Coturnix japonica: one gene and its partner. The protein of the gene in region 2 purifies or fractionates together with the protein of the main gene of each other region. This does not show direct contact. Links are inferred from orthologs where the notes say so. Each region holds a gene or a part of one and is shown on either strand. Other genes may lie near its edges.

The links.
Region 1: the proteins of ADRB2 (region 2) and USP33 purify together in Homo sapiens (affinity purification with western blotting; 3 studies listed by BioGRID and IntAct, with this or other methods). This does not show direct contact. The link is inferred for Coturnix japonica from reciprocal best matches to the Homo sapiens genes ADRB2 and USP33.

The regions. Positions count from the first base shown.
Region 1 is NC_029523.1:16,746,628-16,750,560, reverse strand, and holds the end of USP33 (ubiquitin carboxyl-terminal hydrolase 33), read right to left. Parts: intron 2,296-3,933; coding exon 2,138-2,295; 3' UTR 1,223-2,137; downstream 1-1,222. UniProt on the Homo sapiens protein: Deubiquitinating enzyme involved in various processes such as centrosome duplication, cellular migration and beta-2 adrenergic receptor/ADRB2 recycling.
Region 2 is NC_029528.1:10,593,437-10,598,823, reverse strand, and holds the start of ADRB2 (beta-2 adrenergic receptor), read left to right. Parts: upstream 1-1,547; 5' UTR 1,548-1,769; coding exon 1,770-2,943; intron 2,944-5,387. UniProt on the Homo sapiens protein: Beta-adrenergic receptors mediate the catecholamine-induced activation of adenylate cyclase through the action of G proteins. The beta-2-adrenergic receptor binds epinephrine with an approximately 30-fold greater affinity than it does norepinephrine.

The DNA.
Region 1 (3,933 bases), on a different chromosome or scaffold from region 2:
ACAAACACATTTCATCTCTGCAAACTTGGGAATTTCCTTTGTTGTTAAGCACGACAAACAGTTGCAGTGTGAGGATGCCTGTCACTGAGGTGATAGAGGCACTTCACAACTCAGCTAGTTTGAAGCATCTCATTACTGGTTTAAGCACAGCACAGTTCAGGACTGCAGTGGAAAAAACAATCTGCAGGAACTGCCAGACTATTAGAAATCTAGAAATATTTCTATCTAAACCCAAGTCACCATTACTGAAACTGAGGCAGATACTCCTACTCATCTAATAGAACTGTTTTCTTCCTTGAATCTCCCTCCAGCATTCTTTTAAGCAAGAGAACCTATTTTTCAGTACTGAGTCTTGCAGCTCTTCTTTGAGATCATCTTTACCCAGAGCTTGCATTTATTATCAAGTAAAATCCAAAACTGGGAGCTGTACATATGAAACCTCACAATCAAGCACAACACCGAGTAGAGCAAAATAATGACCTCCTGTGCCTTGTATCTGATGCTTTTCTTCCTTTGCAGATTTTACTGGGGCAGTCTTACTACTTATCCAGACATTTCATGGGCTGGCCAACTGATATCTGTGATAAAGTTTAATGAAGTTTAAAACTGGGAATGTTTTACTTACATACTAGAGATATAATCATTGGCTTTGTACTGCTGTTCATCTACCCCTCTCATTCACCCTACTGTGTTCTGGCTTTAGCTCTACTTCTCAGGTAGGCTGAGGAAAACACTGGGATTTACAGATGGGATTTCAGACAGAACTTATTATACAACACATCAGCAACATGGTCAAGTACTTTAGGTTACAGAACACTAGGACTCTTATAGGCGGCTTTCTAACCACAATGGCTCTAAGTACTTTCTGAAGTACAACACAAGTTTCATTTTATACTAGATGTAAAACCAGCCAGAAGAGCGTTACATCAGTATTTCTCACTCAAGCCATGCAACTGACCACGTCATTGCCTCAATGTAAAGTAGCCAGGAAATATATGGGTCTGGGGACAACATCACAGCATTACTCCAAGGTTTTCACAGTGATGTAATAAATGGAAAAAATTTGAGAAGGCTCCCAACCCCTCCCCACATTAAGGTTGGTTGCCCTCATCCAGCCCCTTTTCTCTCTTTTGTTTTTTCAAAACAAACAACCAAACAAGTAGCCTTGAGTACCGCTGCTTATTTGGTAACTATCAGGCAAAGAAAAGACTAAGTGCCATTCTGCGTTCCGATCTGATTCATTTAGTGAAATTTGCAATATATACATTTTATCCAGCTTTTCACATTATAGGTCATCATGCTAATGAACAATACAATAAAATTCTTCAAAAGCAACTATCTGTGAATATAATTCAAGAGACCAGACAATTTAACTTCCAAAATTTATATCACTCATGTCCATAGTCATTTTACATTTCACATTTCATGCTCTCAAACATTACCCTAGAGAAGACTACATCTTTTTTCTCACAAATATTATTAACGCTAGCAGGTTTATAGAGTTACAGAAGCCTAATGATGCAAAATTGAGCAGGTAATAACTTATGACATTCGCTGACTAAAACAATATTCAATCTACGTTAATGTTTGATCCATTCAAATATGTTAAGTATTTGGATGTCACTCATTTTATATATACTTACAGTGCAAAATAAGTGAGAATTTTTTTCCTGAGCATTTAAGACATAAAAATCCTTTTTCTTTATCATTGATTGCAATCCATTTAGAATATACTCTCCTTATACCTAACATTGTCAAGACTTTACAATTAAGAAGGCAGACATTTGTGGGTATCAGAAGCCCAATCAGGAAGGTTACATACATCTCTAGAACTTTGCTCCCATTTTTCAAGTCTAAGGATATAACAGGATTTTGACTTACACTGAAAAGTCCAGAAATGACAGTGTTTTCCACTCACCAAACACTCCAAGAAGAATAAACTACACACTTTCCAAAACAGAGAAACAGTCTTCATTTAAACAAATTGCAATGTATATTTCAACTTACACTTCTGTAGTTAATGTAATGCCCAGTGAGATGTGCCTCCAATAGACAAGAGAATAAAACTTTTAGGAATGTATTTTGGGCATTTTGTAAGGAAGCTGGATTCCTTACAAATTCATCCCTTCCTCAGTAGCTACAGACAATGAGTTTCTAACTCAATCTTCTCTTCTGTTTGCAAGATATCAGGTTCTACTGTAGGAACAGGTGGCCTGTGTATAATCTCTGGGCCTCCACCATAGATTGACTGAAGAAAATTCCACGTTTCTTCAGATATCTGTCCAGAATCTGCACCTGCAAACATTTTAAAAGTTTTAATTTCTATTTAAAACAGTTATTTCCACAACTCTTTGAAGCTTGTAACAGATACAAAAAGAAAGAAGAATGTATTTCAAATTTAACAATAATCTAATTTGCACTTTTTCCTATGCCAGCTACCAAACCCAAGGACTTCTCAGTATTTACATATTTCTTCATTCTTACAACCTACCTGCTCTCAAAACTATCCAGTACTTAACATACCCCAGATATAAGACACGTGAAGCATTTTATCTGAAATGCACCCATCAAGCTAATAACAGATAGATCTCAGAGTTGTGACGCCGCTTCCTGGTATGGAGGGATTCACATTAACAAAAATTCCCATTCATTACTGTGTAAACTGCAAGTATTCAAGGTTTGTGTGTCAAATAAATAATAGTGATCATAAAGAATAAAAGCACATGGCAGTGTAATGAGTCAGCCTGGCTTCTATTTGTTTATTTATTAAAGTCTCTGTCTATGATCTCTTTCTTCTGGCTAAAGGTTTCTCTGCCATCCCAGGTCAGCATCCAACAGTCTTGCCTGATTCACCAAAACATTTAGAAGAGCAAGGGCAGATCAGCATCTCACCCCTCTATGTTCTACCAGAGTGATCCTGTCTGACAAAATTGTAGCGTATCTTCACGTTAACCTACATAACAGAGGACAAACTTCTATTCTACCTGAATAAACATCTTTCCTTTAAGCAACGCTTTAGAAAGTTGCACTATGGCAAGTTTCTCCCAATATCCTTTCGTTACATACTATTAATGTTTCAATAAGCCTAATTTCTACTTAAAAAAAGAAAGGAACAGCAAGGCTTCTCTCCCTTGTCTCCTATAATTTCTCTCCTTGCCACCTGCTCTAGCAGGCCTCCTGCTGTGACAAACATCTAATAAACTTCCAAAAATAAAAGGTGCAAAGACCTTATGTTTGTTTATCCACACCAACTCAGCCATGCGAAGCTTCATATGGATGCAGATCCTGTGCCAGAACTAATGGAGTTATGTTTGAGTTTTACATTTTTCATGTACTCAGAAAACAAGTCGGCCTCCACAGGCACAGGGGTAGATCAATCTCACTCCCTTATAAAGATTCCAGCAGCCAGGTGTAATTGAACAGACACAGTGAATGCCAACTCATTAGAACTGGGATCAGGACCACAGAATACTATTTAGTAGCACTCCTCTGTTTTCATTCACAAATTGGAATTTTTCCACAGCCTATTCCTCTTAATCTCTACCCCAATTCTACCTAATCTGAACCAAAATAGCTTTAGTTCAGAGTCAATAACTGCCTATTTTACTATGAATTCTAATCTGATTTTATGTTGCTACTGAACATCAGTCAGACGTCTGAAGATTCATGTTTAATTTCTGTGTTAATAGCTTATACCACTAAGACGTACTACAAAAACTCATGGGTGCAAAAATTCATTCTGTTTTCAGTATGCCCTTTACATTTCACAATTGGCAACACGCGTGTTGAACCTACTGACCTCCAGCGATTGTCACCTGTAGGTCCTTTCTATATGCTGAAGCATTATGTTAAATTGACTTTGACTTTTACTTGGTAGCTGTATTTTTTCCACAATTTTAACACTGCAATAGTTGAGCAGTTTAAATATTGATG
Region 2 (5,387 bases):
TGGACTGAGGGCGCAGCCCTGCACACCCCGTGCAGGTGAGCAGATGGCCAAAGCAAGCAGAGAGCTGCCAAACTGAGGAAGAAAGTTCAGCCCTGCTGCCTTCCACCATGGCCCGCTAAGCACGCAAGGCACAAACTGCTGTGAATATAACATTAAAAATGCCAAAATACTGAGATAGAAGCTGGGTTTGCTGAGTTCTGCATCCCACACCATGGTGGTGATGGAGGCTCTGGAGAAGGATGGAGGGCCATTACCAGGATGTGCAGGATGAACAGACAGCTCAAGTGTGTTCTGCATGTGCTATGAGACACAAATCTGAGCTCCGACCCTCCCAGACTCAGTGTGTTTTCTCCTAAGCTCCCAAAGCTGCCTCTCCTCCTTTCAAGACAGCACTTCTTGCAAGGATAAGCATGAAATGTCTATTGGAACAAGGAACCTGATACTTCCTGAAAGTTGTGATTTAGTGTCAGAGCATTTCCTGATGTTAGCCTTACAGGAAGCAAACTTGCCAGTTACTACCATAGACTTACCTTGATCATTTGGCAGAGTTTTCTGACCAGGTCTTCAAATAGAGCATTGGACAGTGAGCTGAGCACAACATGTAGTTCCCACACTCATCACTTTTCCCTCCTGCTCTTCTCCCCCAACATTACATCTGATCCACCTGCATTTTCCTAGCAGTTTTCTGCTGTGTTCTCCCCATGAGGTGCATGCACCGTGCAGGAACCTCAGTGCACAGGAGCCTGCAGGTGTTAAGCCTGTATTCAAGGATGGAACAGATCCTCACCTGGTGCAAAGCCAGTGTGATGTTACAGCCTTCCACCAGCTGGCTGCAGCCATACGTTGCATGGATTGCGTGGATCCCTTTAACTCAATGGTGGGCACTGAAAAGTCCTGGTAATTAACTAAGGTCATTAGTGCTCCCCTGCACTCTTGGCTGCTTCACAAGCATTCCAAAGCCACCCGTTACAGCCCCTGAGCCAGAAGCACGAGCTGCTGCAACTGCAACTTCATCGTGTTTCCTGATTCCAGCACCTCGCTCACCCCTCGGTGTTAAACCACAAAGCTCCCCCTGCGTGCAGGCGGCTCCTGTATTGATAGCGCTGGCTGAGAGGCTGCGGGCAGCCCCCGCTCACATACGGTGCCACCTGCGGGACGGCAGCACGAGGAGATGGGACCCTTCCGTGCACAGCAATGCGCAGACATGGCGTTCCAGCCAGAACGTTATCTCTCGTGACACTGAAGTTTGTAGGATCCCTCAGCCCTTATTTAGGATATTTGTTCGCTTTGGTGGCAGGGAGCAGCGCAGAAGTCACATAACCCCGTGTCGGGGTGTCGGGGGGCAGCGGGACCGCAGCGTGGGGAGGGAGACGGACGCCTCCGTTCTCAGGCTGTAGCGTGGAGCTGGAACACGCGTGGGGCGGCTGCCGGGCCGGGGGGCACACGGGGGGGTGCGAGGTGCGCGCAAGGCGCGGCGCCGGCTGCCATTGGCCGTGTCGGGCTGATGTCACGGCGGGTGTTGCTATAAGCTCGGCGGCGCCGAACGGGCTGGGGACAGTCGGGCGGGTGAGACGCTGCGGGACGAGTTGGGTCGGGTGAGGAGCGGGGCGATCTGGAGCGGAGCGCAGCTCGTACAGCCCCGCACGGCGGGAGCCACCGCTCACAGCCCGCACCTGCTGTTCCCTATGCGCGGAGCCCGGCGAAACGCCACGACATCGGAACGCTGAGAGCAGCCCCCGCAGCCTGCCCGGGGATCCGGCTGGGGGGACATGGGGGTGGAGGGCACCGAGCTGCCCGGCGGCAACGTCAGTGCCAACCAGAGCGCAGCAGACCCCACGGTGTCGCGGGACGTGTGGGTGGTGGGCATGGGGATCCTCATGTCGCTCATCGTGCTGGTCATCGTCTTCGGCAACGTGCTGGTGATCACCGCCATCGCCCGCTTCCAGCGCCTGCAGACGGTCACCAACTACTTCATCACCTCGCTGGCGTGTGCAGACCTGGTGATGGGACTGGGTGTGGTGCCCTTCGGTGCCTGCCACATCATCATGGAGATGTGGAAGTTTGGGAACTTTTGGTGTGAGTTCTGGACCTCTCTGGATGTGCTTTGTGTCACCGCCAGCATCGAGACCCTGTGTGTCATCGCTGTGGATCGATACTTTGCCATCACCTCCCCATTCAAGTACCAGAGCCTGCTGACCAAGAGCAAGGCACGTGTGGTCATCCTGATGGTGTGGGCCATCTCGGCCCTCACCTCCTTCCTGCCCATCCAGATGCACTGGTACCGGGCAGACCGTGATGAGGCCATCCTCTGCTATGAGAAGGACACGTGCTGTGACTTCTTCACCAACCAAGCCTATGCCATTGCCTCCTCCATCATCTCTTTCTACCTACCGCTTGTGGTCATGGTATTTGTGTACGCCAGGGTCTTCCAGGTGGCCAAGAAGCAACTGCAGAAGATAGACCGGAGTGAGGGCAGGTTTCACATCCAGAACAAGGAACAGGACCAGAACGGGAAAACCGGGCACCGCCGTTCCTCCAAGTTCTTCCTGAAGGAGCACAAAGCTTTGAAGACCTTGGGCATCATCATGGGCACCTTCACGCTGTGCTGGCTGCCCTTCTTCATCGTCAACATCGTGCACGTCATCCAGGACGACATCATCCCCAAGTACGTGTACATTCTCTTGAACTGGCTGGGCTATGTCAACTCTGCCTTCAATCCCCTGATCTACTGCCGGAGCCCAGACTTCAGGTACGCCTTCCAGGAGCTCCTGTGCCTCCGCAGGTCTGCTCTGAAGATGTACGCTAATGGCTACTCAAACAGCAACGGCAGGAGTGACTACAACGAGGAGGAGAACGGCTACCCCCTGGCACCAGAGAAAGCCTGCGAGCTGCTCTGCGAAGAGGGCTCCTTCCCTCACCCTGAGGACTTTTTGCACTGCAAAGGTACTGTGCCTAGTGGGTAGCTCTGAGATGCGATGGGCTCTGGCGTGGCACACTGCTCCTAACGATGAGCCTTCCTCTAAGGAAAAACAAAAACCCAGTAATAATAACGATCCTCACCTAAAGCACACCTAAACCTCAATGGCTGCAAGGAACCTAAAACTCAGCAAACCTCCTGCAAACAGGTGGAAGGCTGCCCTGGGTGGCTTGGGTGGGCTGGCTGCTTGCAGAGGTTATGAATTTAAGTGCACGACCTTAGGTCCCTTGAGCCGGGGGGGTGAGGAGTGCTGGGGGATGGTATTTTAAGGCTGTGCAGAAAGCTCGTCCCAGGAAGAACTTCCTGGCTGTGGCCGATGTTGAACTACCTCATGAGCTCGGTGCTGGCGGCTGCTGCGGGAGCGCTGTGCTCCCCGAGCTGTGCAGCACCTGCCCCCATATCCCCCCCTTTAGGGATGCTTAGAGCTCTGTCGGCTGCGTCTGATCCTGTTGCTGTCAGTGGGAAAGTTTAAACAACGCCCGGAAAAACAGAACAAAACAAAACAAAAAAAAAACAAACCCACGACAACCACGAATGCGTCTTTTGCCAAGTGCTATAGGACTGTCCGCTGAAATAAGGATAGAAATAAACGGAGTCTTTGCCCAGAATGTGATACAGTGGGTGTGGGACTCAGGAACGTGATAATGGGAAGCTGGGCGATACGCTGCTGCAGTCGCAGCCCGTCCTTTTATCGAGACCGCAGCCAAAGCTCTTGTAGCCGCCCAGTTTAAATTCGGCTCTCAGCCCGTAGAGGTGGGCAGGGAAGGTTTTATTTTCTGTCGCTGAGGGCTGACAGTCCGGCAGCGCAGCCCTGGCCGCGGGACGGCTCTGGGTTGGTCTGTCGGTTTGTTTGTGAAGGGTTTTTTCCCCTTGCAGCGGGCTTTGCATTGCGTTCCCGCAGCACTTGGCGGCGGGCGCATGGGCTGTCACGGTGGCAGACGCGAGCGGGCAGGTGGGGACGGACGGACGGACGGACGGACGGACAGGGTGGCTGTGCTGCTCGGCGCTGCTCGGAGACCCCGCTGGAAGAAAGCAGCGATCGCGGGGCTGAAATGGAGCTCCCCCCCTTCGCTTTCTTCCTCAGCTGCAGTTTGAAAGAGGGGAGCCGAGGAGGATGTGAAAGTGCGGTGTCTATAGAAGCACGTGGGAAAGATGGGGGAGGGACGGCCCCGCGCCCCGTGGGAGCTCTTCTCCCCAGGGTTGGCACCGTTAATAGGAGGCTCGCAAAGACCTGGGCTGTTCTGCCCACTGTTCCTGCAGCCCCCGAGGGTGCGCCCAGGGAACGCTGGATGGGATCGGCTCATAAGGTGCTGCAAGGTGCAGGGTGGCTGCAAACTCATTCTTGAGCCCTTGGCGTTCCTCATGGTAAAGCCCCACCCGGTTTTGTGGGGAAGGGTTTAGAAATCCTCGTGCTCCCTTCTGCCTTCCCCCAGGTATCCCAATCCGGTTTGGGAGGTCAGGCAGCCCCTTAGCCCTTTCCTAACCCTATGTTGGATGCTGGCTCTGCTCTGCTTGCAGCCTCTCCAGCTTGGTGCATGCTACAGAGTGGCAGGGAATGTGTGCAGCAGAGCTCTGTGTCACTGCCAGCTTTGCTGCCCGTGCCCACCTGCACCTTCCTTGGAGCTGTCAGCAGTGTCCGAGCACTCCCGAAGTCATCAGGTTCAGCTTTTACATTACAGTGTGAACAAACGAGAGGGGTGTGATGGCGCAGGGTGGTGTGTGGCTGTGGGGAGCAGGAGGCCAGGTTGGAAAAACATTTGCTCCTCAGATAAACATTAACAGGCTGACCAGGCTGGAGAGACCTGGTGTGGGGTCAGGTGCTCTCAGTTTCCTACTGTAAAGGGCTGAAAGGCAGGGGGCCCTGCGCTGCGGGGCTGGTGTCGGTGCCCCATGTAGGTTAGAGATGCACCATGTTGGAGATGCATTTCAGCTCAGTATAGGTCATGATTATTACAAAGCAAGAAGTGAAAATTAGCCTCTTGGTTGAAGCGATTGATTTCTTCTGTGCCATTAATCCTGCGTAGGCTGGTGTTAGCAGGAGAGCAAGGTGAGGGGGTATCCCATGGTGATAGCTCCTGGTGGAGAAATCCAGCATCCGCATCTCAGTCGCTGTATTCATTTTTGTTATTATTTGCATTTCAATAGCACGTGTTGTGGATGAGGGTTTTATTGTCCAAATAATTGCTCTTCTTGCTTGGCTGGCTGCACTCGTACTTCAGATGTTGGTGCTGTATGCAGCAGGAGCAGATGAGCAATGGGTGACTGCAGGACTGCTGCAGTGTGCAGAGCACAGAGATGTGGAAGGGACAGGGGATGTCTGTCTGTCTGATGACCTCTGCAGCTCAATGCTTAGGTGCTGTGTTAGGAAACCTCAAGCTCAACCATGTCTGAGTGTTGAAGAGCTGATTTC